4 linked regions of the Elephas maximus indicus genome follow. The protein of the gene in region 3 interacts with the protein of the main gene of each other region in a pairwise test. Links are inferred from orthologs where the notes say so. Each region holds a gene or a part of one and is shown on either strand. Other genes may lie near its edges.

Region 1 (7,571 bases), on a different chromosome or scaffold from region 3:
CATTAACAAATAAGACCTTACAAATTATCTTTGGCCTCTGCTATAACTACCATTTAAATAGATTACTCACCCTTTTAAGCAAGCTGAAACTTTGCGTACTTTGTTCTAAAAATATACCAAAGAGGTTATATTTTACAATTGTTTGGCAACTGACTGAAATATCTGCTAAAGGGCTGAACTTTATCTTAAAACGTGAATTTTAAAACAAAGCATTTTTTAAAAATCTAAATGGCGTTAATAAGTGTAAAGAACTGTAAGAGGTCTGTCAGGTTCTAAGGCCCTAACGATCAAGAGTTAAATGTAAGCACATAGAATTTATACAATAATCTATATACAATGATTCTTATTTTGAAACTTTTGAAAAAGATTTTCACTTGATTCAAAAATAAATATTGCTAAGGGTCTTTCACAATACAAGATTTTAATAAACCAAATCAATAAAGGTCAGAAGTTGTTTTCCAGCACCTAGCAGGCTGCTAGTTTAGTAGGAAATCAATAAATATCTGTTCATTGTTGAATGTTCCAGTGAGGTGAATTAAATTATATATTAGAAGCAATCATATACCTTTCCCACTAGCGAGTCCATTTTTTGTCTTTCTCCCTCAAAATTTGAAAGTAATTAATGCTTAATCCAGAAATCTGGAAAATACATAAACTAAGAAAATAAACCATCCATGGTAACACTAGTTTTAACATTGTTTAGACCATTACTTATAAAACAACACTATTTTTAATGCCTGTAAATTATTTTCCTCCAATAAGCTTCCCCTAATTTACCTCACATTCCCCTACTGTTGGGCACCGCTGCTTCTAATTTTTTACTATTATAAATAGTGTGATGTACATCTTCATGAATAAGGTTTTTTTTTTTTTTAATTTCAAGATTGTTTCCTTGTGATATATTCCTCCCAAAAAACCAAACCCATTGCCGTCAAGTCAATTCCAACTCACAGCAACCCTATAGGACAGAGCAGAGCTGCCTCATAGGGTTTTCCTAGGCTGTAATAAAAAAAAAAAAAAAAATTTTTTTTTTTTAGTCTTTAAGGAAGCAGGCTGTCATGTCCTTCTCCTAAGGAGCCGCTGGTGGGTTCAAATCGCCAACCTTTCGATTAGCAGCTGAGCACCTACCCGCTGCACCACCAGGGCTCCTTGATATATTAATAGCCCAAAGAAAGCTCTAACACTCTGGATATTTAATGTCAGGCTTTGTTATAGGACTCAAGACCTATAAATTGCTCCAGGACTCTGGCTCCCTTTTTTTCTCTTTATATCTGCTTTTACCTTCAAGTCTTCTACATCTCTTTGCTCACGGAGTCCGACGCACCTTTCCATGTCTGTCGAGCTACCTTAACTCTAACATCAAACAGTTAAATGTTAACGGAACCAGATAGACATAAGGAGAATGTTCATGCGTTATAAAGAATGTAACCAATGTCACTGAACAATTTGGGTAGAAACCGTTGAATGGGAACCTCAACTGCCATGTAAACCTTCACTGAAATGCAATAAAATTTCATTAAAAAAAAAAGTTTGAATGTTACAATTGTCTTTATTTTCTAAAAAAGAAAAACGGCTATGCCTGCTATGTTGTGTCCTCCAAGGAGTGATGGGCAGGAAGCGCTGTATCCACAGGGAATCCATTACTTAGAATCCTGTGTCTTCAGACCGACAGCCTGGCTGTAGGAGGGTTTGCAACTGGGCTCCTTCTTTGCACAGCACTTTCTTTCATAAACAACACACCCACTTGGTGCCATAGTGCTATCGCTAGCTTTAACTCCGCGCACTGAACTCTCAAACGCTGTGACTTGTGCCAACTTCCCACCATCACAGCCACATTGCTGCTTTCAGGAAAAAAAAAAAAAAACGTTTCCCTCGGTGCAGCACTTAAATTCTAGAAGGCACCTTGATTAACTTCATCCTGAAGCATTCAATCCTGCTGATTCTTACAGGCAACTGCTAAGCAGCCTGTAATTAGGACTTTTCAAAAAACGCTCGCCTATGACTTGGGGTTCTTCTGATCATTTGGTCTGTCAGCAAAAAGGGTATCCTGAACAAAAGTATAGAGAACCTCGACCTCGGGTGTCCCTGTGAAATATGCGTATTAATCCTGTACTTTTCCAAACCAATGTCCCAATCCAGGCAGACACATTATTTGGTTTTAAAAAAGCAATTCGCAGCAATACATCCCATCACACAACGGTGTACCGTATTCCACTAAATAGTTCACAACAAATGCTGCTCGAGGTGACAGGACGTCAAACACAGACGACCTGGGCCACCCTGCCACGGACACGACCCACCTGGGAAAGCTGTCCTTCCCCAGAGGCGACAGGAAAGGGGTCGCCGGTGTCGAACTCCTGCCGCTGGCTGTAGCTCCTTACTCAAGCCCTCGGCTCTGCCACTTTTTTATTTTTCGCTTATCCACACCTGTAATCTCGCTGTCCTCCGCCCCACAAGCAATTCCAGAGACCACGTCGGACCCAGAGCCGAGAAAAGTGTTCATTCTGAGTTTGAACCCTCGCTCCCTCCTCTGACCCTGGCGGAGCCCCATTCCCCACGGCTCAGCCCCTTCCCACCGCCCGAGAAAGGAACCGGCGCCGGTCAGCCCCAGCGGCGGCGGGGCCCCGGAGGGCGTGGACGCCCTTGGCGACGGGATACGGGGAAGGTCGCCCGCGGGGACTCCCGCCCGGAGCAGCGACCCCGCGGCCTCGGCTCGAGCCGCCCGGGCACCCCCGCCTCGCCCGGGACCCTCGCTCGGGCTCGGCGGCGACCGCGGCCGGCCCCGCCCGGTCTCCTCAGGCCGACCCCGACCGCCCGCCCCGGCCCCGGCCGCCCTCGTCGGGCCCGTCCGGGACCTCCGCCCAGGCCGCCGGCCGAGCCGCCACACCTCTGACACTCACCTCCGCCCTCGCCGCCGCCGCCGCCGCCGCCGCCGCCGCCTTCATCCATCTTGAGGCGACTCCCGCTGCCGGCACGCCGGGGCCGCCGGGCGAGGGGCCGCGGGCGGGGGCGCCGCCGGTGCGGAGCGCGCGGGCTGCCGGCTCGGCTCCAGCAGCGCGGCGGCGGCCGGCTCGCGGCCCGGGCCTCCTCGGCGGGCGGGGCCTCCTCGGCGGGCGGGGCCCCCTCAGCCGGGCGGGGCCTCTTCGGCCGGTGGAGCCTCCTCAGCCGCCCGCAGCCCGCCGCCGTCATGTGACGCATAGGCCCCGCCCCTCGGTGGGCGGAGCCCCAGGGTGCTCGGCCCCGCCCCCTGCCGGAGTGTGGCTGGTGTCCTGACAGCGGCCCACGCTCCTGGGCGTCTCCTCCGATCCGGAGGCTGCGGCCAGGCGAGGGTGAAATGGGGTCCCAGCAGCCTTAGAACAGATGTGGGGTCTGGGACACTGCAGTGCTTCCTTCTACAAAACTCAGGCGAGGCGTCCTCCTCGCACTTGCACTCAGGAAAAAAGGTCCAGAAATGAACGTCCTGGAAAGTCAGACCCTCCCCTTGGGGCCCCCCAAAATGTAAGGTCCCCATCAACAGATGAATGGATAAACAAATTATGGTACATACACACAGTGAAAGACTATGCAACAAAAAAGAACAATGATGAATTCGTGAAACATTTCACAACATAGATGAATCTAGAGGGCATTACACTGAGCAAAATAAGTCAATCTCAAAAGGACAAATATTGTATGAGACCACTATTATTTACACGCTGGAAAAAAAAAAAAACTTTGATGGTTACAAGGAAGGGAAGGGGTGGGGAGGAGAAATCGCTGACTAGATAGTAAAAACCAAAAAACCAAACCCATTGACCTCAAGTCATTTCCGACTCAAAGCAGCCCTATAGGACAGAGCAGAACTGCCCCGTAGGGTTTCCAAGGAGCAGCTGGTGAATTCTAACTGCCAACCGTTTGGTTAGCAGCTGTAGCTCTTAACCACTACACCACCAGGGTTTCTGACCAGATAGCAGATAAGTGTTAACTTTGGAGAAGGGAAAGACAGCACACGATATAGGGGAAGTCAGCACAACTTGGCCAAATCAAACTCATAGAAGCTTCCTAGACACTTCCAAACACCTTGAGGGCCTGAGTTACTGGGGCTGAGGGCTGGGGAACATGGTCTTGGGGGACATCTAGATCAGTTGGTATAACATACCTCATAAAGAAAACATTCTACATCCTACTTTGGTGAGTAGTGTCTGGGGTTTTAAAAGCTTGCAAGCGGCCATTTAAGATACATCAATTAGTCCCATCTCTAACAAAGCAAAGAAGAATGAAAGAAAGAAAAAAAAAAAAAAGACACAAGGAAAAGATTAGTCCAAGGGAGTAATGGACCACGTGAACCACAGCCTCCACCAGCCTGAGCCCAGAAGAGCTAGATGGTGCCTGGCTACCACCACCAACCACTCTGACAGAGATCACAACAGAGGGTAGAACAAAATTCTTCAGTCACAAAAAAAGACCAGACTTGCTGGTCTGACAGAGACTGAAGGAACCCGCAAGACTATGGCCCCTGAACAGCCTGCTAACTCAGAAGTGAAGCCACTCCTGAAGTCCACCTTTCAGCCAAAGATTAGACAGGCCTATAAAACAACAATAACACACGTGAGGAATGTGCTTCTTAGTTCAATCAAGTATGTGAGACCAAATGGGCAACACTTGCCCAAAAGCAAAGCTGAGAAGGCAGGAAGGGTCAGGAAAACTGGACACAGGGAACCCAGGGTGTAAAGGGAAAGGGGGAGAATGCTGACACATTTTGGGGATAGTAACCAATGTCACAAAACAGTTTGTGTATAAATTGTAAACTTTCATGTAAAGCACAAGAAAATTAAAAAAGAAGAAGAAGAAATGTAAGGTCGCCACAGGCCTTCGGAATTATTCCAGCCTGTCAAGCTTTCTGATATACAATGCAGCCTCTTCTCCTTTCCTGGCAATAAGACTGCACTTGGAAATGAACAGGGTATAAGGCTTTATAAACGCGTGTTCCCATAAGGTAGTACCCAAATCCTAATCCGGCACACCTGGGTTCCCTCCCCTTTCACATGGGAAGAGGTGGGCCAGCCTGGCCTCTGGTGCCCTTGAAAGTTTAGCTTTGTTGTTGTTGTCAGGAGCCATCCAGTTGATTTCCCAATCATAGTGACCCCATGTGACAGAGTAGAACTGCCCCACATGGTTTTTTAGGCTATAATTGTGTGTGTGTGTGTGGTCTAAGTGAAAGTTTACAATTCAAGTCAGTTTCTCATACAAAAACTTATACACATGTTGTTATGTGACCCTAGTTGTTCTCCCTGTAATGTGACAGCACACTCCTCCTCTCTACCCTGTATTTCCCATGTCCATTCAACCAGCTCCTATCCCGTTCTGCCTTCTCATCTCGCCTCTAGACAGGAGCTGCCCATTTAGTCTAATGTATCTACTTGAGCCAAGAAGCACACTCTCTACCGGCATCATTTTATGTTTCATAGTCCAGTCTAATCTTTGTCTGAAGAGTTGGCTTCAGGAATGGTTTTAGTTCTGGGCTAACAGAGAGTCCGGGGGCCACGTCTTCTGGGGTCCCTCTAGTCTCAGTCAGACCACCAAGTCTGGTCTTTTTACTAGAATTTGAATTCTGTACCCCACTTTCCTCCTGCTCCATGAGGAGCTCTCTTATGTGTTCCCTGTCAGTCCGGTCATTGGCAGTAGTCGGGTACCACCTAGTTCTTCCGGTCTCAGGTTGATGGAGTCTCTGGTTTATGTGGCCCTTTCTGTCTCTTGGGCTCATATTTTCCTTACGTTTTTGGTGTTCTTCATTCTCCTTTTAGGCTATAATTTTTACCGAAGCAGATTGCCAGGTGTTTCTCCTGCAAGACATTGGGTGGGTTCAAACCACCAACCTTTCAGTTAACAGCCAAGCACTTAACCATTGCACCACCAGGGCTCCTTAGTTTAGCTCTAATCTCCCTTGAAAAGCTGCCAGCTGCCCTGGATTTAGGATGCAGACACACAGAAATGAGAGAAAGAGCGCTGAATTCCATTTCCCAGGGCATAGCCAGGACCCTAAGCACAGGTCTCCCAGTCAGAAGACCTCAGGTTGCCTCTGCTACAAATCTTCTCTATATATCTTTCTCACTCCATATCCTGCTTCCAGCAAGTCCTCCTGCAGCAGTGAATGTGCCCCCCTTCCCCAGACCTTTCCGTTCATTTTCCATCTAAATTGTGTTAAAGAAAAGCAAATGTCATAATGGAGGAGATCATTCATATCTAATATAATTTCCCGGCAACTGTTTTATGTTTGCAAATTATCCATGGAATCAAAGGATCCCTCTGCTGTGGTCCATCAAAACGGACAGCATTCACCTTTTTGTTCAAGGTTGTGGGATGATTCCAGACAAAGAGCTGAGTCTCCAAATAATCTCAGGAATTAAGCAGCCAGCATTCCTGTTCTTTGAAAGGCACTATGGACCCCTCTGGGTGTAGATAAGATGTTTGGCAGCTTATGTGACAAAAGTGTAACAGAAAAGGGGCCTGGAAGTCAGGAGATACACGTTCAAGTCCCAGCCCACAGATGTAGCTTCCTGATCTCCTTCCTATCTGCTTTGTCATCTTGAAGATGACTGCATAGCTACTGGGAAATATGAGAACATTCTTTGAACTTGACACTGTGCTTTGTGGAGATTTGAACTCAAAGATACTATCAGTTATAAACACATTGAAATGTCTTCCTAATTCTTTAGGGCCCTTGAAGTGTCACCTATAGGTGATTCTGTCAGAGTTTGAATTATTCAGTTCCAAACGTGGGATTTTTGACAAGTCCCCAAAATAACTATTTCTAAGCAAAAACAAATGTTTCTGGACCTCTGGATGACAACATCAATGAAGATGCTTAATGACTGTCTTTGGTTTTGTCACATTTCCAGTAAGAGTTCTTCCAGCTGTCATCTCTGTAAAAAGTAAAAAGTTGGCTTAAGAAACAGATACAGAAACACCAATGTTCACTGCAGCACTATTCGCAATAACCAAAAGGCGGAGACAACCCAAGTGTCCATTAACAGACAAATGGACAAGTGAAATGTGGTCTACTCACACAATGGAATATTCCTCAGCCATAAAGAGAAATAAAGTTCTGATACACACCACGACGTGGATGAATCTTGAGAACACGATGCTGAGTAGAAGAAGGCAGACACAAAAGGACAAATAGTGTATGACCCCACTTACATGAAATATCTAGAACAGGTAAATGCATAAAGACAGAAGGTAGCTTAGAGCCACCAGGAGATGGGGAGAGGAGAGAATGAGGAGTTATTACTTAATGGCTACAGGGTTTCTGCTTGGAGAGAAGAAAACATTTTGGAAGTAGGTGGTGGTGATGGTTGCACAATACAGTGAGTGTAATTCATGTCACTGAATGGTACACTTAAAAATGGTTAAAATGGCAAATTTTTTGTTATATATATATTACCACAAGAAAAAAGAAAAGAAACCGACACAGAAAATTCTGATTTGAGCTGAACTTCAAGATTTTGGAGGGCAAGGTTCAGCTCACTCCTCCCCCACCCCCAAGGTATGAGCTCCCTTCTTCTGTCAGAGGGACCTCTCAGCTACTGTGC
Region 2 (7,098 bases), on a different chromosome or scaffold from region 3:
ACCCCAAAGCTCCCAACAGATTGCCTGAGTTGACTTCATTAGTGGAGACCCCAAAGCTCCCAACAGATTGCCTTCCTAGGGCCAGCCTGAAGCAAGGTAGTGACTCACCTTCTGGCTGCTCCTTCCTTCTCTCCCTCCCCCCCGCCCCCCGTTCTAAGCCCAAGCTAACTTGGGGGGCCCTTCTTCTCCCAGCTCATCATGTTCTTGTCCCTGCCCTGTCATTTACTGGCGCTGTGACATTGACCAGTCAGGCCTCTTCTCCAGGTCACCTCTGTGAGCCTGTTTCCTCATCGGTGTCATGGAGACATCCGACGCTGTCCCTAAGGACCTCAGGATGCAAAGACCCAAAAGAACGGAGCACTAATGGTGGCCAGAGAGGCAGTGGGGGTGTTATTTCTCGGCAGGATGGCCTCACTGCCCCATCTCACCGTCATGTCAGCTCTGCCACTCCTTTGCTGGGTAGCCTTGGGCAAGGCACTGCCCTTCACTGAGTTTCCTCTTGCCTTCTAAGCTGCATCTAAGATGTATCCACTGAGCCTGGACGGTGTGTGAGCCACCTGCCACCAAGAGCCACAGGAGAAGCAGGGGTGGAGGAGAGAGCGCTGGACAGAGGGTCAGGAGATGGGGGTGTGGTCTGACCTCTGCCTTGGCCAAGACTGCCTCCCTGTCTCAGCTTCCTTCATCCCATCTGTAAATGGGATCCATGGAATGGAGTGGATCACTGGTTCTCTAACTGTGTTCCCTGGAACCCACAGGTTCCACCTCTGGTGGGGGGTGGTGGGGGGCCCAGTGGGTGGGGTCACAACTGCTCTGTTAGGTTTTGTTTAAAGAGAGTGTGCTGTTGCTAAGCAAAGTTGACATCATCTGGGCCTGAGAAACAGGATAGCTCCTCCCAGCCCTTATGTCCTGGAATGCTAGGCAATGCTAGAACATTCTGAGACTCAGGGTGCAGGGACTTCGCCCCTCTTTCCACCTTGCCTTCTGCCTCACAGAGACACAAGCCTGACCCATTCTCTCCTCTTCCAACTTCACAGTAGCCTTTCCTCTTCTGCCCCAGACTCGGCGTCCTGGTTGTGGGCATGGTCCTTTGCTTCTCATTCCCAGCATGCCCCTCCCCACTGATTCTGCCATCAGTCTCCCCAAAGGCCACCCCCTACACACCAAGAGCCAAACTGGGGCCCCAGGGCCCTTGCACCACCACACAGACATCGTCGCCACCAACATCATCACAAGTTACCATTCTCAGTCCCACCTCTGGGCTTTGAACTGGCTGGTCCCTGCTGGGAATGTGTTTCCCCAGAAACCCACGCATCCACCCCATCCTCTCCTTCAGGTCTCTGCTCAAATGGCGTTTCCACCTGAGGCCCACCCTCTCCCTTCTCTTCACTGGTCTTCATCCTGCTTGTCACCAAGTGACAGATTACACGAAATAGACTTGCTGTCTGCCTTCCCACTGGAGTGTCAGCCCATGAGGGTAGAGACGGTGCCTGCCTGTTCACAGCCGAACCCCCTTGCCTACCACACAGCTTCACACCTAACTGGAGCTGAACAAACATATGTTGCATGTCGTTGGGTACCCCAAGTGTCTTATATCTATTTATACATTTAATCCTCCTAGGACCCTGTGAGGCAGGCACTGTTATCCCATTCTACAGAAGAGGAAACTGAGGCCCAGAGACACTGGCTGTCTTGCACAGGATCCACCACACAGCAAGAGAGTGGAGGAGGGAATTTGTAGCCAGGCCTGGGAGCCTGGAGTGTGCCCTCAGGGTCTCAAGTTAGCAGGTCAGAATGGTCCAAAGTCTGGAAAAGTCCTCCAGGGACTTGGGGGATCCAGAGCCTTGTTCCCACATAGTAGTGAGCGGGTCACTTTACCCACTGAGCCTAGTTTCCTTTTCCATTAAATGAGACACCAGTCCCTTTATAGAGGTCATGAAGCTGGTATGAGTTAGGAGAACTGACAGGCCTCACAGGATGGGATAGACCCAAGATTGCCACCTAGCAGATGGGTCCCGTCCAGAGCTCCTGGCTCCCCAGTGGCGTGCATGGCCGCTCTTGGGTGTGTGCTGTGGCCTGGCTGGCAGGATGTGGCCAAGGTGCCCACCGCCCCCCCCCCCAGCCCCCATGACACTCCCCACAGGCTAAGAGCTCCCTACCTGGGCTCAGAAAGCAGATACTAGGGAGGTGGCTGGAAGCTGATCAAGGGACCCATCTTTCAAGTTAGGGGAGCAGATTTGGGGGGCTCCAGGTGTCTGGAGTTGGGGAGCAGCTGAAGCAGACTCTGGTCCGAGAGGGAAATACAGCCCACCTCCTGATCTCAAGGTGCCCCCTCCCCCTCAGTGCTCCCACTGGTGGGGACAAGCCTCCCTCTGAGCCAGGCCTGCTCTGTCAGAGCTGGTCGGTCCTCTGGAGCACAGTGCCGCTATACCGTCTCCTGCACAGGTGCAGTCGTGCTGAAGGGGGAGCACCCAGCAGGGCTCTTGGGGACCCTGTTCCCCTCCTGCCCACTGGCAGAGAGCTCACCCATTGATGCCTGGAGAGGTGGCAGGACAGCAGCAGGAACCCTGGGTGCTGGGTTCTAATTCCTTCTCTGCTGCCCTGTGTGCCTTTGGGAAGCTTCTGACCCTCTCTGGGCCTACGCCCACTAGTACAAGCCCCTTCTGCAGAGCCTTCAGCACCAACATTCGCAATACAATGGGTGTCAGGCGAAGGTCTCTGTGGGTGCGCCCACTCCAGCTTCCCTCCTGGAACAGGGGACAGCTTCTTTCCCACCTGGCCCCCGACGCCCCCTGTCCATTCCTGGTCCTGCTTGGTGAAGCTCTTGCATATACCCACACTCTCACACTCTCTCCTGGACCCCTGCCCTTCTGGGTGCTTACCTGGGTGGCACAGGTCCATTCTGAAACCCCCAGGGGAACGGTGGCCTGTGCTCCTGCTGCCTGCTGACCCAGCTGCTGCTTGGGTTTGCCTGGCAGTGATGCGTCACCTCAGCTGCGGCAGGCCCTTTCCCTCCCCCCAAGCCCAGCCCTGTGTGGAGAGGAAGTCCTGGCCCCCAGGTCTGCTGCGCAGGCTCCAGACACAGCAGCACTTCCTAAAAACCAGCAGAGCTTCGAGTAGCAGGGACTCTGCATTTTGTGTGTGAGCGAGGGAGGGAGAGAGGGGAAAGAGACAGATAAAAAGAGAAAGAGTGAGACACAGAGAAGCATACCACACACACACACACACACACACACACACGCAGAGGCAGATAGTCACTACAGGACACAGCCTTCTCCAGGGACAATAGGCATTCATTCAGCATAGAAACCACAAAGCCTCACCCAGCTTGGACAGTCCAAGCCAGGCCCTGTATAGTCCATCCCACAGGCCCGCTTTTATCAAGGCTTACTTGAAAAACAAACAAACAAACTTCAAGGCTAGGAAGGACTTTGCTTCCCCTCACAGAAATGTCTGGCTGTTTTCTGTCTAGTGACCAGTTGGGTATTAGGTTCAGTTTCCTTTTTCCCCCAGGCTGCTGGGAAGCTCACAGCCAAATCTGAAGCTCATTTACCACAATAGTATACTCAAAGGATCCCTGGTGGCTCAGTGGTTAAGAGCTCAGCTGCTAACCAAAAGGTTGGTGGCTCGAATTCACCAGCTACTCCTTGGAAACCCTGTGGGGCAGTTCTATTCCGTCCTGTAGGGGCGTTATGAGTTGTAATTGACTTGACAGCAATGGGTTTTGGGTATACATAACAGTTATATGACAATAGCACGTGGACTTTGGGGCCAGACTCAGTCGTTAGACTCCCAGCTCTGCCACTTAGGACCTGTGTGAATTGAGCATGTCATTATCCACAGCAAGCCTCAGTTTACTCACCTATAAAAGGGAGAACTATAATATGTACATCAGAAATATGGAAAAGATAGAGCGAGACAATGTGTGTGAGACGTTTGCAACATAGCAGGTATTTAGTAAACACTACGTTCTTTTCACTTTTGGTCTTAATTTTCTTCTTTAGTTAAAATTCTTAGCTTTATGCTTGTGCCTTTTCTGGCAGTTTGACTCAAGTCCTTTACGGAGAAGGGTGTGATGTAAAGAAATATCTGTAAAATAAATGCTCATTGGCCATAACTTCATGGCACATGTTGGTTTCCTCAACTTTCTTTCACTTGCGTGGAGGCCCCATGAGGACAAGTTTGCTTTTGTGTCTCAGTGTCTGGTAAAATGCTGAGAACGTCAAACTAGTTACAGTCAAGTTGATTTCGACTTATGGTGACCCCAAGTGTTTTAGGGTAGAACTGTTTCATAGGGTTTTCTTAGCTGTAATCTTTATGGAAGCAGATCACCAGGGCTTTTTTCCACGGTGCCTCTGGGTGGGTTCAAACCATTGACCTTTAGGTTAGCAAACCCACGGCTGTCGAGTCGATTCTGACTCATAGTGACCCAGTAGGGTTTCTGAGGCTGTAAATCTCTACAGAAGCAGACTGCCACATCTTTCTCCCTCCGAGTCACTGGGTTTCTAACTGCTGGCGTTTCCGTTAGCAGTCGAGCACTTTAGCCACTATGTCTCCAGGGTTCCTTGTTAGTCAAGTGCAAACCATTTGTGCCACCCAGGGACATAGAGGGTGTAGAAGTGTGGAATGAGTGAATGAAACACAGGGGAGGTAGAATGGTAGATGCAAAAAAACTGGCCACAGCATCCACCCCTCCCTGTATCCACACCCCTTTGCACAGTGACGTTGCTGCTCCTCCCACCAAGAGGTGGAGTCTATTTCTTGAATCTGGGTCAGCCTGTGTCTTGTTTTGGCCAATAGAATTTAGCAGAAGTTACATTACGTGACTTTCAAGGCTAGGCCTTAAGAGGCCTGGTAGCTCCCACTCTTGCTCTTGGACCGCTGCCCAGATGCTATGAGAACAAGCCCCGGGTCGCCTGCTGGAGGATGGTGACCATGAGGAGAAATGTCTGGCTGGCCTGGCTGCTAGCCAGCCCCAACCTCATGAGTGAGCCTAGGCAAGACTAGAAGAACAACTTAGCTCAGCCCAAATTGCTATCCCACAGATCTGTGAGAAATAATAACTTCTTGTTGTTTTAAGCTACCAATTTTCAGGGCGGTTTACTATGCAGCAAAAGCTCACTGATGCAGATGGAATCCAACCCCTTTATTTCACTGAAGAGGAAACTGAGGCTCATTTCAGGGATGTGCTTCTCCAAGTTGGAACTTGAGTTAGTGGCCCATTCAGGATGAAAAGCTAGCCCAGCTGACTCCCAGTCTAGTGTTCGTAGGACTCCCTCCTCCCCCACTGGTGCTCACACAACTCAAGGTTATTTTCTAGGAAATTTGTTGAAATTATCTCTATGGTAAACTAGAGTTTTCTCAATAAATCTGGGTCTGAGGCACCACAAACTATTTCCTGGGGCACTTCAAAAAGAGAAATGGGGAGAAAGGCGTAACGCTCTGCGCAGAAAGAGTTAATGTAGCAGGCCTGAGGTTGCTATCCAGAGAAAAGCTGGCTTGCAAGGTTGGCCCTTGGCTGGGTCTGGGAACTTGGATTTCGGGATGGTTCCCATCATTCCCTGTGCCTAAAGTGTTTGTGCAAATCTACAGTTTATGCGGAACCTTTGTTTTCCTTCTGGGAGTCTGGAATTTTGGTACTTGCTAGGGAAAGGGTGGCTACGAGGCTTGTTCCCAATAAAAACCTTGGGTGCTGAGTCTGTAATGAGCTTCCCTGGTAGATAACATTTCACACGTATCAGCGCGATTTGTTGGAATCACACAGTACACTCTGTGTGATCCCACTGTAAGAGGACTCTTGGAAGCTTGTTCCTGGTTTCCTCTGGACTTCGTACCAGGTGCCTTTTCCCTTTGCTGACTTTGCTTTGTGTCCTTTCACTGTAATAAGTCCTCATTGTTAAGTATGATCAAAAGCTGAGATCTGTGTGTCCTCCTAGGAAATCACCCAAATTGAGGGTGGTCTTGGGGACCTCTGACATCTGCCCTAATGCTGTGGCTGGACCCAATGGATGTGTCTCACCCAGGGCCACAGTTTGGCGTCTTGGACTTGTGTCTTGCCTGAAGGGTTGGTAGAGTGGTTCAGTTATTATTACTATCTTATTCTCTAAGACTCAACTCAGACATAATCTCCCCTGTGAAGCCTTCTGTGATTGTGCTCGCTCTTCCTCTGCCCCTTCAGCCCTGGTCATGTTGGACAGCTTGTATGCAGATAGCCCAGGAGGGAGGGACCCTCTCGTTGTGGCTGGCAAAAGGTTTGTTAAAATAACAGGACAGGAACTACAGAGACCTCGATTAGAATACTGACTTAGCCCTTGCTAAGTTGTGTGACCTTCACCCTCTGAGCCTCGTTTTTCTCGTCATCTGCAAAATGCGGACAGTTAAGATTAGGTTTGGTTAGATGAAACAGGTAACCTAAATGACAATGGTTTATGTAGATTAGAGATTTATTTATCTCTTATGAGAAAGAAGCTTGAGGTAGGCAATACAGGGCTGCCCTGGTAGCACCATGGCCACAGGGATCCAGGCTCCTTCCAACTTTCTGCTTCTATCCTCAAGGTATCTTCATGATCCAAAGTGGCTGCCTGGTCTCCAGCCATGGTATCTGAATTCCAGGTAGGAAGAAAGATGAAGATGGGAAAGGCAAAGAGGGTGTTCTCAGCCATATGAGAATTTCCCCAAAGCTCCTTCTGGCCTGAGGTCAGACCTTCTACCCTAAATGGGGCTCTGCTTCCCACATGTGTACTAGGCAGAAGGCCAACAGTTGATGATAAGACAACGCATGGTGGTCTCCAAACAGGGAGTGTGGGAGGTCCCAAACAACCACCACTACGACTTATGGAGTACTCACTACGGGCCAGGCACAGTGCCAAGTGCTAATACATCATCTCTTTTAATCCTTTTCACAACTCGCCAAGGTGTGTGATTACAACCCCCAGTCTGTAGGTGTAAAAATTGAGTTCAGAGAGATGAAATCATTTCCCATAAGGTCACTGAACCAGGAAAGGGCAAAGATCAGCGTGAGCCCTGTGTTTTTGGCTTCAGAGACCTGCTCTGAACTTCTGCAAGCATCACTCCAGACTTTTCAAAAGAAACTCGGTGGTC
Region 3 (7,263 bases):
TATGGAACAAGGGTGTGTGGGAGAGGTGCTAGATTCGTACAGACATTCAATTAATTTTCCTGTTTCCAGTTCCATCACTTACTTAGATTTTCTAGCTTCTCTCGGCTGTTTATGTCTCAGGGATTCTGAACCACAGATAGGCAGTTTCCTCCACCATGGTTGTCCCCTCCTTACTAATGGTGGGTTCCCTGCTCTCTTTCATCTGTTACTGCTCCTCCTTCTATTTTCCATCTTCCAGAAATCTGTTGTGATCTCTCTAATGCTCTTCCTTCTTCTTTTTTAATTTTTATGTGTATTTGTATTTTTTTTAAACTTTTCCTATCATTTTAAGGAGTCCCTGGGTGGTACAAAAGGTTAATGCATCCTGATGGTAATGGAAAGATCGGAGGTTCTAATGCATCCAGAGGTGCCTTGGAAAAAAGGCCTGGCGATTTAATTCCAAAAAATCAGCCACTGAAAACACTATACAGCACAGTTCTACTCTGCCATACATGGGATCCCCATGAATCAGAACTGACTTGGGGACAGCTGTTTTATTTTTATTTTAAAGGGGTCTTGGAAAGGAAGGAAGGGGGCAAAAAGGTTCTGTCATTAGCCCACCATCTTGAATTAGAAGTCCAATCTCCTTGAGGATTACTCCAATTTTATACATCAGGGGATCTATACTTAAAGAATTTAAGTGACTCCAACCCTGACCCCATAATTATGAATAACATGCCCTTTGATGATGGCATCTAAAAATCTAGTGAGAAACAAGCCTCTGCTATTGATGTTACTAAATACCTTAACACCATCTAACACTTTTTGGATGCCACATAAAGCAAGGAACTAGGGCAGCAACTCATGTGGGGAGAAGATGAGGTCGTAGTTCCCAGAAACAGAAGTTCACAGAAATGGGAAGCCATTGAGAGAATTTTATTGTGTTTCTGGTCAAAATGTACAGCATCTTCTTTTTCTTCTTCTACTCCTCTGCAAATTTAATTTAAATTATCTTCTTGTGGAAAGAATATAAAGACAATGAGAAGAAGTCAGAAACCAGAGACTGAAGCAGTTTTCAAACTATGATCTATTCCTCAAAGGTCATAGCTTTTTACCAGATACTAACTTTGTTTATATAGTATCTCTTCCTCTGACTCCCCAATGTTATTTATTTTTAACACAGTTTTTTTTTTTTTTTAATTGATATTTGGCTTGTGAGGTATGGGGTATGTTGGGACGTAGGCCATGTTTAATCTATAAATTAAAAATCTCCTGGCCATTAAAAGCCAAGACATAAAACATGCCATACAAAGGATATCCACTTTGCTTTTAGAAATGTTGTCCATAATCTTTTGCAAGTTACATCGACAATCAAGGGACACTGGTTTCTGTCTGGAATGCCAGATGTTACAAGCATATCATTAAATTAGGCAGATCTAAGGTCAATGGAATTCTTTACTTCTCTACCCTGAATGATCCTTTTCTCCTTGGGCCCAGTTATCTGCAGGCCAGGAAACAGACCATCTATTTGCCCCGGCCCAAGCTGTTTGTTACGGATCGAATTGTGTCCCCTAAAAATGTGTGTTAATTTGGCTAGTTCATGATTCCCAGTACTGTGTGATTATCCACCATTTTGTTATCTGATGTGATTTTCCTATGTGTTGTAAATTCTACCTCCATGATGTTAATGAGGTGGGAATAGCAGCAGTTATATTAATGAGGCAGGACTCAACCCACAAGATTAGGTTGTGTCTTAAATCAATCTTTTCTGAGGTATAAAAGAGAGAAGGAGCAAGAGAGACAGGTGGACCTCATATCACCAAGAAACAAGAGCCAGGAGAATAACCCTAGATCCAGGTTCCTGCACTGAGAAGCTCCTCAACCAGGGGAAGATTGATGACAATGACCATCCCCCACAGCCAAGAGAGAGGGAAAGCTTTCCCCTGGAGCTGGCACCCTGAATTTGGACTTCTAGCCTCTTGGACTGTGAGAGAATAAATTTCTGTTTGTTAAGGCCATCCATTTGTGGTATTTCTGTTACAACAGCACTAGATAACTAAGACACAGTTCATACTTAAAAGCAAGCTAGAAGAAGTGATCTGCCTTTATACCATGGGGGTTCCCTGGGAGCTACAGGCAATGAAGTCCTGCTGGCAGGGTAGGATTACCCTGTAAGCAAGGCATGCACAGGCCCAGTTGTGCCTTCTCACCAATCTGCAGTGTACAATTTCACCTATCTCCTACATGGCAAAGATGTGGTGAAACCCATGTGAAATTGCTCACCACAGGTTAGCAAGTAAATACAATCAACCCCATACATGCCAGTGTATACCTTGCTTGCTGGTCAATCCACCCCTGCCTGCTGGTCAGTTTTAGGAAACAGCAGATTCATTGAGTGTCTCAAGAAGGAATGCCAGGTGTCCAGAATTCTGATCCTAATGGGATGAATGCTTAAAGTGACTATGTAAAGCCACAGAGAAAGGTCTAAATCTGTGCTTGGCTTATAGCCTTCTCATGCTTGTGGTTAGGTGAACATTCATCCCTCGGAATCGATTCGATGGCACTGGGACTGGGTTATTGACATTGCATCCATTACCTTCCAGATTCTTGGTTAATTTTATAGTTTAGGTTTTTGTTTGTATGTTAACTGGTCTGTTTCTTGGAGATGGAATGATGGGGATCATTAGTTTCTAGGCCTGACCAGTGTGAGCTTGGTAATGACTAAGGTAGGGTGCCCCAAATATCATGCCTGGATGAAAGTCTCAGACGTTGTCTCAGAGGTATAACTATATAAATGATTTTACCCTTAGATGGGACTTCCCTTTTGCTCATATTTGGCTTGAGAGGTGCAACTTGAGTTTAGATAAAAGTTCTACACAGTATGGTGGGCAGACTTCTGAGGTAGTCCCAGTGACCCCACCTCCTGGTCTTCACATCTTGGATGATCCTTTCTCTTGAGTATAGACTGAGCCTAGTGAGTCACTTCCAACAAAGAGAATATGAAATAGAATATGGCAAAAGCAGAGATATCACTTTTGAGAATCAGTTACAAAAGTGACTTATGTCTTTCTCATACTCTCTCCCGTTTTCTTTCACGCTCTCATTTGTTCTCTCTAATGAAGCCAGTTGCCATGTTTTGAGCTGAGCTAAGGAGAGGTCCATATGGGGAAGAACTCAGGGTGGCTTTGGGCCAATAGCTAGCATTGGACTGAGAACCTCAGTCCAGTAGCCCGTGAGAAACTGAATTCTGCCAACAACCACGTGAGTAAGCGTGGGGGTGGATCCTTCCCCAGTCAGCCTTGAGATGACCGGAGCCCCAGCTGATACCTCATTGCAGCCTATAGAGACCCAGCTAGGCTGTGCCAGCTTCCTGACCCACAGAAACCAGGTGATAATAGAAGTTAGTTGTTTTAAACATCTAAATTTGGGGATAATCTGTTATGCAGAGATAGATAGCTAATCCACATGCTAAGGATACAGCTACTACATTTTGGAAGACTATGCTGGCCTGTTTCTAATGGTTTATTTCCTTTTCTTTGAAAGCAGAGAATAAATAAAGTGAGACAGTATGCTTTCCCCAAGAAAGTATAATGAAAAGATGCTGATGTTGAAAAGGAGAGGTTAAGATAGGCCTGAGGCAGGGTGAGGAACATATTGGAGTTAAGTTCAAATATTTTTAACTTTTAGCCAATTTCCTTTTCTAGCGTGTGGAAGAAAAGCTTTGATTTTAGAGAATCTGTTGTGAGTGCTGGGAAAGAACGGTAGACTAAGACTTATTTTTATCTTAAAATGCTTTTCACAAATTTATCAGTGCCCTCTTTATTGAGTAAACTGTTATGCAGAGTTGGGAGAGGTCAAGGAAGGGAAACTGTGAGGGAAATGGGAACCTGAATGGGGTTGATGGTTAACAAGTGGCATCTCAACCTACCATGATGAAAATGGCTCTACAAATGATCTCACCCTGCAAGCTTGGGAGAAAACATCTTTGCCTCCAAAACAGGAAAGTGAAGCCATGTCATAATGTTTTGTATATGTGTCCTGGGAAGGGATACACTCGGTAGTGTTTGGTGACAAATGGAGCCAGACAGCTAGGGTGTGCCTGTGTTGCGTGCATTGTGTCCTGCGTATTGGAATCAAGGAAGGGCTCAATAATGATAAGAAGGAAGAACAATGAAATTGAGGAAGTAAGATGACACTTCCTCTTCTTTCGCAAGAGCTTCATTCTCTGGTCAAATTCTAATGGTAGTCCTGTGTAGACTGAGCTGTGAAGCTGGAGCTGCTTAGAGAGCAGAACCCTCAGCCTCTGCCTCAGAGTATTATGAGTGCTGTGAACTCAGGTACAAAGAACCAGCTCTTGGATTTACTCTTTTTCTTGCATGTAAGTAAAGTCACGCCTTGGCTGATGTCTAAGAAGTAATTGCTTGGCCTATCAAGATGGTAAAGCAACGGATACCTTAGCACGAGCTTTAGAAGAGTGAGTTCTGAAATGTGGCTCTTGGGATACAGCATTCACCCAGCTCTTCATAAACCTGCTGCTGTCAAGTCTAGTGCTAAAGGCGCTCTTGAATTTTGTCAGGGCTTTGAGGGAGACTCATGTACTCACTCTGCTTTTCTCTGTTTCTTAAATGGACGTTATATTGATAGCTGCTTGGGCTGTAGACTATGGGTTTGATTTAGAAAAGCACAATTCAGCATCGGTTTGGGGCCTGAGGAGTTTATTTGGGGAAACACCCTGTTGTCACCCTCTTTTGAGAAAGTGTGTTCTTTGTGGCTATCCCCCCTTTGTATGTAGGTGGCAAGGAGCCCTGGTGGCACAGTGGTTAAAGCAATGGGCTGCTAACCTAAAGATCAGGTTTTGAACCCACCAGGTGCTGTGGGAGAAAGGGGTGGAAGTCTGCTTCTGTAAAGATTACAGCCTTGGAAACCCTATGGGGCAGTTCTACTCTGTCCTATAAGGTCACCGTGAGTCAGATTCACTTGGCTTTCTTTGCTTGGGTAAATATGAAAGAAATTTAATTATAGGAGTCAGAGTTACAACCCACAAGGGCATAAATAACTCCAGTAGTGGACTTCATTAGTCCCTAGGGGCTTGTGTGTTCTCAGTACTGTTGTAGGCAATGTGCTATTGTACAATACCCTAAAAAGGCAGAGTCTGAATCCTCCAGAGCTGTTTATTTTACATAGAAAACAGAAACAGAAAGAACACGCATTTATTTCTGCTCACATCATGCAAGTGAGGAGGAAGAGGACTTAAGTTTGTGTACTTGTTGACGTTCTCCTTCTTTAATTTGCCTTTTCGTATAGCATCTTTTTTAGAGAGGGTCCATGTATAAATTATTTCAGGCAAGCTGCATTAAGCAAATACACATCATCGGAATATGGAAATAGGAAGTTCTTTCCTGCGGTAGTTGGCTGTGGCAATAAGAGATAAAACATTACTTCACGACTATTGCCTGAGACTTTCCTTTTGACTCGTGTATCCTTCTTGAACAGCTCACTTCTGCTTTCCCTCCAGCTTGGAGGCCAGGCGGGGTGAGCTGGTAACCAGAGCCCAGGCTGACAATTTGCAGGTAGAGTTAATACAGCTAGTGGTGTATGCATGTGTGAAGAAAATCCTAAACTGTAAGCCTTTTGCTTTTGAAGAAAACCCTGTAAGGAATTACTTTACCCCTAGCACTGAGAACAGTGCCTGCCACATCATATGCTCTCAATAACTATTTGTTGAATGAATGAATGGGGTCTTCATAAAACGAATACATTTGGGTAAACGAAAGCCAAACCTATTGCTGTAGAGTTGATTCCGACTCATAGCGATCCTAGCGGACAGAGTGGAACTGCCACATATGATTTCCAAGGAGCACCTGGTGGAATCAAACTGCTGACCTTTTGGTTAGCAGCTGTGGCTGTTAACCACTACGCCACCAGGGCTTCCAAAAAACTAAACCCATTGCCGTCCAATGGATTCCAACTCATAGTGACCCTGTAGTGGTGCAGTAGCTGTCACTTTATTTCTGTTACCTATGCATACAGGGGAATGCAGGTTGGAAGAGGTCAGAGTGAAGTAGGACAGGAAGGGAATATGAAGGTGTTTTGTAGGAAATAGTTGATAAGACGCCCTACCTCAACAAAGTGAAAAGGGTGGCAATGTGATGGTGGTCGGATGGTGAAGGTGGTAGTTGTGGTAGAGGTGAAGGTAAAGAATGTGAAGGTGGAGGTGGTGGTGGTGATGGCTGTGATGGTGGTAGAGTTTGAGGGGTGCTGGAAGTGGTCGAGGTGGTGGCTGTGATGGTGGTAGAGGTGGAAGTCGTGGTGGTAGAGATGGAGCTGGTGGTAGAGATGGAGATGGAGGTGGTATTGGAAGTGGTGGTGGTAGGGGTGGTGTAGATGATGGTACAGGTTGTGGTAGTGTTGAAAGTGGTGGTTGAAGTGGTGGACTTGGTGTTGGTTGTGGTGGTGGAGAGGACAGTGTGATATAGCAGGAAGAAAACGTATTTTTGGGGTCAGACACATCTGTTCAAAGTCTGTGTCTGCCAGTTAGCAGCTATATGACCTCTAAACCTGTATAACAGCCCTGTTGGCTCAGTGGCTAAGAAATATGGCTGCTAACAAAAAGGTTGGCAGTTTGAATCCACCAGCCACGCCTCGGAAACTCTTTGGGACAGTTCTACTCTGTTCTACAGGGTCACTATGAGTCGGAATCAACTTGATGGCAATGGGTTTGATTTCAATGGGTTTTATACTTTACCAAGCATGATATTCTTCTCCAGGGACTGGTTCCTCCTGATAACATGTCCAAAGTACATAAGACGAAGTCTTACCATCCTCGCTTCTAAAGAGCATTCTGGCTGTACTTCTTCCAAGACAGATTTGTTAGTTCTCCTGGCAGTCCATGGTATATATTCACTATTCTTCACCAACATCATAATTCAAAGGCATCAATTCTTCTTCAGTTTTCCTAATTCATTGTCCAGCTTTCGCATGCATATGAGGCGATTGAAAATATCATGGCTTGAGTCAGGCACACCTTAGTTCTCAAAGTGAAATCTTTGCTTTTTAACACTTTAAAGAAGTCTTTTGTAGCAGATTTGCCCAATGCAATATGTCATTTGCTGCTTCCATGGGGATTGTCTGTAGATGCAAGTAAAATGGAATTCTTGACAACTTCAATCTTTTTTCTGTTTATCATGATGTTGCTTATTGGTCCAGTTCTGAGGATTTTTGTTTTCTTTATGTTAAGGTATAAGCCACACTGAAGGCTATATAGTCTTTGATCTTCATCAGTAA
Region 4 (7,858 bases), on a different chromosome or scaffold from region 3:
CACAGATATTTATGAAATGCCCTAGGGAAAGGGTTTTTTTGCTTGTTTTTAAAGCCTGATATTTAATATCAGTCACAAAGTGGGAATTCGGAAGGAGTTGAAGAATGGGATTATCTACAAAAGCGAGGGCTGCGCTTAGGGACGCCACCAAGGAATGATAAAGTACCAGTCCTAGGCTGGAGGGGCTGAAGGCACAAGCACTGCTGAACGGAGGGGCCCACCTCGTAGAAGGATCCAGCTGACCCTCTGCTGCCTGGCAGGGAGGAGCCCAGGAGAAATGGCTTTGTCCTCACTCTCCTCCATCCACCAGGAGCAGAGGGCCAGGGAGCCTGCCGATCACTGTACACAGGCTGAGTCTACCTCGAGAGAGTGACTGGAGAAGGGGGTGGAACTGGAAGAGCAGAAGGAAAGTATCTGCACAATCCCGAAGTCAGAAGACAGGAGGAACCAGGTTTGTCACTACTGGAAAAGGGATGTAGGAACACGAAAAGGGCGCAGGCTAGAAAGAATCCCAAAGTGCCGGACTGGAATCAGAGGGATGCGTGTTTGTAACGGTTGATGATCTATACTGTACTTAGCCAGCTCTACCGCTGGACACGTACCTGTTGTTTCCATTATATCCTATGTGATGACATATAATCACATGTAACGTCGTTTCCATTATATCCTATGTAATGCTGCAGTACACTGTACCTTTGTGCTCTTCTCTGATTGGTTCCTTAGGCTAAATTCCAGAAGCAGACTTATAGGTCAAAAGATATAACCTATTTTAAGACTCATACATGCTATGAAATCAGTTTCTCAAATGTTTCCATTTTCCAGCTGTGTCTGAAAGCACTAGCCTCGCCACGACTTCATCCCCAGTGAGTATTATCATTTAAAACATTTGCCGACTTGATAGTCTCTTAACATTTATGCTGCTGATTACCAGTGATGTCAAAGCTCTTTCGTTGTGTTTATTTGGCGTGGGCATTTGTTCTTCTGTAAATTACTCGTAAGTGTTGCAATACAATCATGTAAATGTCTTAAAAACCCCTGGAAGGGCATCCGTAGGTTGGAACACACGGTGACAGAGGCTTGTCAATCCTCGGCAGGCAGAAACCTGAAAATACTGCAAAACACTTTTAAAGGTTTTGCAAAAAGGTTAAGCAGGAGGGCGGGGCCAAGGTGGCTTACTAGGTAAAAGCTACCTCGGATCCCTGCTGCAACAAAGACTCAGAAAAACAAGTGAATCGATCACATACATGACAATCTACGAACCCTGACCATCAAACACAGATCTAAAGAGTTGACCTGAGTGACAGGGGAGTGAAAAGCTGTGCCCTGAAGCAGCGACCACCTCTGGAACCTGCGTCCCACTCCACAGCCTTGAGCCCTCGCAGTTCCCTGGTGCCGAGTGGTGGGGCTGACTGCAGCTTGCTGAGGCGGGGCAGGCACGGGACACAGCCCTAACCCCTAGCTCCTTGGGGTAACCTCAGTAGAGACTCAGCCAGCACAAGCAGGCTGCACACTGACGCAGCTAACAAGAGAACGAGCAACCACAGGGAAGCAGCGACTGTTTTCAGAGCCTACAGCCAGCATCCCAGTCAGAAACCCTTGGTGCCAGGCTTTGGACCGGGCACAGGGGAGCTAAGCATGGCTTCCTGAGGTGGTGCAAACACGGGACGCAGCCCTAGCCCCCTGAAGTGACCTCGGGGGAAGCCCAGCCAGCGCATGCCAGCAGCGCAACAACGTGGCTGACAAGAGGAGAAGTCACCGGGAGGCGCTGGGCTTTGGACTGGGAGCGGAGGAGCTGACCACAGCTTCTGAGACAGCACAAGCACAGGAAGCCAGTCTGACCCTCGGGGGCAATCTCGACCCTGCCAGCACACATAGGCTACACGCCCCCCGTCCCTCAGGGAATCTCAGATAAAACAGTCATCGCCAAGCAAGATAAGTAACTTTGTCTATATTGCTGGGTGCTACTCTCTCCTATCTATCTGATCCCTACCCTCTCTGCCCCAGGTGGCTTCATTAACATTGGAATTTCCTGGGCCAGGGAGTGAAGTGCTCTGTGGTTTGTTTGTTTGTTTTTTTTTTTTTTTTTTTTGTCTTTTCCTAACCCATTCTCCTGGCCTGAGAGAAGCAGCTATTAAAAACCCAGGGATGAAAAATCCTTCCGTAACTTCCCTAAACTGGAATAAAAATACAGAACCAGTTCCAGCCAAGCATATGAGATCCACAGTCTTTGGCTTTCATCCCTACAGGGAACAAGGTGGCTATTATAATGCAAAGGCAATTCTAATAGAGATCTGACTGTAATTGTTTTAGTGGATCACTGGAAAGACAAGTTTTCCAGGTCTGATATCTCTACCTATTAAACAGAGCCCTCACTGATCCACAACAGGGAACTGAGGGCTGAAGCTCCACCCAAACCACCTAGCCACCTGCCAAAGGGGTCTGAGGATACTGACACCTACCAATCTTTAGAGGTACATGCATTGGGTGCCTAAGGTACAGCTGCAGAGCCCACCCACCAAAGTGCTTTAGGAATAGAGACACACCTACCGCACTGGCATGTGGGGGAAGGCTGTCAGCAACCAGCCCCCCTGGAGTGTGACCCCCTGTTGCTACTAGAATCTGGTGCACACAACTATCACCACTACTCCTCTAAGTTAATAGGTGACAGTCTACACCACACACTTGGTGACCCAAAATCAAAACACCTAAGCTGATTCTATTCAAGAATAGTGAATGGACTCTTAGGCTTACATATCTGGTAACAGCCCAAACCAGCCGGTAATAGAACATAAGCAATTCAAAGGCTACAACAATCAAGACAGTGCAATCTAGTAGCCCATCTGCATATAATGAAAGAAAACAAAATAAGATAAGACTCAGTGAGCAAATATAAATCATTACAATATCTTAGAGATAGCTCAGAGACAGCAGTTGATATCAAACCACATTAAGAAAAAGACCATGACTGCTTCTACAACTCCCCAAATTAAAGAATCAAAATCTTTCCCAAATGAAGATATAATCCTGGAATTGCCAGATGTAGAATATACAAAACTAATATAAAGAATGCTTCAAGACATCAGGGATGACCTCAGAAATGAAATAAGGAAATCTACAGAAAAAGCCAAGGAACACACTGATAAAGCAGTTGAAGAAATCAAAAAGATTATTCAAGAACACGGTAGAAAAACTAATAAGCTGCTAGAATCTATAGAGAGACAGCATTCAGGAATCCAAAAGATTAACAGTAAAATTACAGAATTAGACAACTCAGTAGGAGGTCGGAGGAGCAGAATCGAGCAATTGGAATGCAGAGTGGGGGAGCTGGAGGATAAGGCAATTGACACCAATATAGTTGAAGAAAAATCAGATAAAAGATTTAAAAAAATGAAGAAACCCTCAGAATCATGTGGGACTCTATCAAGAAGAATAACTTGCGTGTGATTGGAGTTCCAGGACAGGGAGGGGTAACAGAAAATACAGAGAGGATAGTTGAAGATCTGTTGGCAGAAAACTTCCCTGACATCATGAAAGACGAAAGGATATCTATCCAAGATGCTCATCGAACCCCATATAAGACTGATCCAAAAAGAAAATAACCAAGACATATTATCATCAAACTTGCCAAAACCAAAGATAAAGAGAAACTTTTAAAAGCAGCCAGGGATAAAAGAAAAGTCTCCTACAAAGAAGAATCAATAAGAATAACTTCAGACTACTCAGCAGAAACCATGCAGTCAAGAAGGCAATGGGATGACATATATAGAGCACTGAAGGAGAAAAACTGCCAGCCAAGGATCATATATCCAGCAAAACTCTCTCTCAAATATGAAGGTGAAATTAAAACATTTACAAATAAACGCAAGCTTTAGAGAATTTACAAAAACCAAACCAAAGCCACAAGAATTACTAAAGGAAATTGTTTGGTCAGAAAATCAATAATATCAGATACCAGCACAAGACAAGGTCACAAAACAGAACATCCTGATATCAACTCAAACAGGGAAATCACAACAACAAATTAAGATTTATTTTAAAAAGAAAAAAATGCTCAAAACAGGGAATCATTGAAGTCACTATGTAAAAGATCACAATAATCAAAAAGAGGGACTAAATACAGGAGGCATAGAGCTGCCATATGGAGAGGAAAACAAGGTGATATAGGACGATACAAGTTAGGTTTTTATTTAGAAAAATAGGGGTAAATATTAAGGTAACCACAAAGAGGTCTAACAATTCCATAAATCAAAATAAAAACCAAGAAAAACATAACAACTCAGCAAACATAAATTCGACTACTATGAAAATGGTGAATACACAACTTACAAAGAAAAACATCTCAGCGCAAAAAAGTGGAAAAATGAAATTGTCAACAACACACACAAAAAGGCATCAAAATGACAGCACTAAACTCATACTTATCTATAATTACGCTGAATGTAAATGGACTAAATGAACGAATAAAGAGACAGAGAGTCTCAGACTGGATAAAGAAACACGATCCGTCTATATGCTGCCTACAAGAGACATACCTTAGACTTAGAGACACAAACGAACTAAAACTCAAAGGATGGAAAAAAATATATCAAGCAAACAACAATCAAAAAAGAGCAGGAGTGGCAATATTAATTTCTGACAAAATAGACTTTAAAGTTAAATCCACCACAAAGGATAAAGAAGGACACTACATAATGATTAAAGGGACAATTGACCAGGAAGATATAACCATATTAAATATCTACACACCCAATGACAGGGCTGCAAGATACATAAAACAAACTTTAACAGAACTGAAAAGTGAGATAGACAACGCCACAATTATAGTAGGAGACTTCAACATACCACTTTCGGAAAAGGATAGGACTTCCAGTAAGAAGCTCAATAGAGACATGGAAGACCTAATTGCTACAATCAACCAACTTGACCTTGTAGACTTATACAGAACGCTCCACCCAACAGCTGCAAAGTATACTTTTTTTTTTCTAGTGCACATGGAACACTCTCTAGAATAGATCACATATTAGGTCATAAAACAAACCGTTGCAGAATGCAAAACATCGAAATATTACAAAGCATCTTCTCAGACCACAAGGCCATAAAAGTGGAAATCAGTAACAGAAAAATCAGGGAAAAGAAATCAAATACTTGGGAACTGAACAATACCCTGCTCAAAAAAGACTGGGTTATAGAAGACACTAAGAAGGGACTAAAGAAATTCGTAGAATGCAACGAGAGTGAAAATACTTCCTATCAAAACCTCTGGGACACAGCAAAAGCAGTGCTCAGAGGTCAATTTATATTGATAAATGCACACATACAAAAAGAAGAAAGAGCCAAAATCAGAGAACTGTCCCTACAACTTGAACAAATAGAAAGCAAGCAACAAAAGAAGCCATCAGGCACCAGAAGAAAACGAATAATAAAAATTAGAGCTGAACTAAATGATTTAGAGAACAGAAAAACAATTGAAAGAATTAACAAAGCCAAAAGCTGGTTCTTCAAAAAAAGTTAACAAAATTGATAAACCATTGGCCAGACTGACTAAAGAAATACAGGAAAGGAAACAAATAACCCAGATAAGAGATGAAATGGGCCATATCACAACAGACTCAACTGAAATTAAAGGAATCATATCAGATTATTATGAAAAACTGTACTCTAACAAATTTGCAAACCTAGAAGAAATCGATGTATTCCTAGAAAAACACTACCTACCTAAACTAACACAATCGGAAGTGGAACAACTAAATAGATCCATAAAAAAAAAAGAGATTGAAAAGGTAATCAAAAAACTCCCAACAAAAAAAAGCCCTGGCCCGGACAGCTTCACTGCAGAGTTCGCAAGGTTGGTTCAATATTAGAAATACTATTAATGTAATCTACCATATAAATAAAACAAACAACAAAAACCACATCATCTTATCAATTGATGCAGAAAAGGCATTTGACAAAGTCCAACACCCATTCATGATAAAAACTCTCAGCAAAATAGAAATTGAAGGAAAATTCCTCAGCATAATAAAGGGCATCTATACAAAAATTTTTTTTTTATACAAAGCCAACAGCCAACATCATTCTTTTATACAAAGCCAACAGCCAACATCATTCTAAATGGAGAGAGCCTGAAAGCATTTTCCTTGAGAACGGGAACCAGACAAGGATGCCCTTTATCACCGCTCTTATTCAACATTGTGCTAGAGGTCCTAGCCAGAGCAATTAGGCTAGACAAAGAAATAAAGGGCATCCGGACTGGCAAGGAAGAAGTAAAATTATCTCTATTTGCAGATGACATGATCTTATACCCAGGAAACCCTAAGGAATCCTCCAGAAAACTACTGAAACTAATAGAAGAGTTTGGCAGAGTTTCAGGTTACAAGATAAACATACAAAAATCACTTGGATTCCTCTATATCAACAAAAAGAACATCGAAGAGGAAATCACCAAATCAATACCATTCACAGTAGCCCCCAAGAAGATAAAATACTTAGGAATAAATCTTACCAAAGATGTAAAAGACCTATACAAAGAAAACTACGAAGTACTACTGCAAGAAACTAAAAGGGACCTACATAAGCAGAAAAACATACCTTGCTCATGGATAGGAAGAGTTAACATAGTAAAAATGTCTATTCTACCAGAAGCCATCTATATATACAATGCACTTCCGATTCAAATTCCAATGACATTTTTTAATGTGATGCAGAAACAAATCACCAACTTCATATGGAAGGGAAAGAAGCCCTGGATAAGTAAAGCATTACTGAAAAAGAAGAAGAAAGTGGGAGGCCTCACTCTACCTGATTTTAGACCATATTATACAGCCACAGCAGTCAAAACAGCCTGGTACTGGTACAACAACAGGCACATAGACCAATGGAACAGAATTGAGAGCCCAGATATAAATCCATCTACATATGAACAGCTGATATTTGACAGAGGCCCAGTGTCAGTTAATTAGGGAAAAGATAGTCTTTTTAACAAATGGTGCTGGCATAACTGGATATCCATTTGCAAAAAAATGAAACAGGACCCATACCTCACACCATGCACAAAAACTAACTCCAAGTGGATCAAAGACCTAAACATAAAGACTAAAACGATAAAGATCATGGAAGAAAAAAATAGGGACAAAGCTAGGAGCCCTAATATAAGGCATAAACAGAATACAAAACATTACTAAAAATGACGAAGAGAAACCAGATAACTGGGAGCTCCTAAAAATCAAACACCTATGCTCATAAAACTCAACCACAAAAAGATAAACAACCCAAATAAAATTGAAAGACAAACAACCCAATTAAAAATTGGGCAAAGGATATGAACACACACTTCACTAAAGAAGATATTCAGGCGGCGAACAGATACATGAGAAAATGCTCTCGATCATTAGCCATTAGAGAAACGCAAATTAAAACTAGGATGAGATTCCATCTCACTCCAACAAGGCTGGCATTAATCCAAAAAACACAAAACAATAAATGTTGAAGAGGCTGTGAAGAGACTAGAACTCTTATACGCTGCTGGTGGGAATGTAAAATGGTACAACCACTTTGGAAATCTGGCGTTTCCTTAAAAAGTTAGAAATAGAACTACCACACAACCCAGAAATCCCACTCCTCGGAATATATCCTAGAGAAATAAGAGCCTTTACACGAACAGATATATGCACACCCATGTTTATTGCAGCACTGTTTACAATAGCAAAAAGATGGAAGCAACCTAGGTGCCCATCAACAGACGAATGGATAAATTATGATCTATTCACAATGGAATACTACACATCGATAAAGAACAGCAATGAATCTGTGAAACATTTCATAACATGGAGCAACCTGGGAGGCATTATGCTGAGTGAAA

Evidence for each region.
Region 1: the proteins of IPCEF1 (region 3) and CYTH3 interact in binary tests that used the Homo sapiens proteins (3 or more experiments, as listed by UniProt). The link is inferred for Elephas maximus indicus from reciprocal best matches to the Homo sapiens genes IPCEF1 and CYTH3.
Region 2: the proteins of IPCEF1 (region 3) and CYTH4 interact in binary tests that used the Homo sapiens proteins (3 or more experiments, as listed by UniProt). The link is inferred for Elephas maximus indicus from reciprocal best matches to the Homo sapiens genes IPCEF1 and CYTH4.
Region 4: the proteins of IPCEF1 (region 3) and CYTH1 interact in binary tests that used the Homo sapiens proteins (3 or more experiments, as listed by UniProt). The link is inferred for Elephas maximus indicus from reciprocal best matches to the Homo sapiens genes IPCEF1 and CYTH1.

Annotation. Positions count from the first base shown.
Region 1 is NC_064830.1:101,037,319-101,044,889, reverse strand, and holds the start of CYTH3 (cytohesin-3), read right to left. Parts: upstream 3,014-7,571; 5' UTR 2,950-3,013; coding exon 2,901-2,949; intron 1-2,900. UniProt on the Homo sapiens protein: Promotes guanine-nucleotide exchange on ARF1 and ARF6. Promotes the activation of ARF factors through replacement of GDP with GTP. Plays a role in the epithelial polarization.
Region 2 is NC_064822.1:181,132,364-181,139,461, reverse strand, and holds the start of CYTH4 (cytohesin-4), read right to left. Parts: upstream 3,021-7,098; 5' UTR 2,899-3,020; coding exon 2,880-2,898; intron 1-2,879. UniProt on the Homo sapiens protein: Promotes guanine-nucleotide exchange on ARF1 and ARF5. Promotes the activation of ARF factors through replacement of GDP with GTP.
Region 3 is NC_064819.1:226,120,256-226,127,518, reverse strand, and holds the start of IPCEF1 (interactor protein for cytohesin exchange factors 1), read left to right. Parts: upstream 1-4,250; 5' UTR 4,251-4,297; coding exon 4,298-4,316; coding exon of another isoform or gene 4,317-4,357; intron 4,358-7,263. UniProt on the Homo sapiens protein: Enhances the promotion of guanine-nucleotide exchange by PSCD2 on ARF6 in a concentration-dependent manner.
Region 4 is NC_064837.1:68,622,854-68,630,711, forward strand, and holds the start of CYTH1 (cytohesin-1), read right to left. Parts: upstream 3,012-7,858; 5' UTR 1-3,011. UniProt on the Homo sapiens protein: Promotes guanine-nucleotide exchange on ARF1, ARF5 and ARF6. Promotes the activation of ARF factors through replacement of GDP with GTP.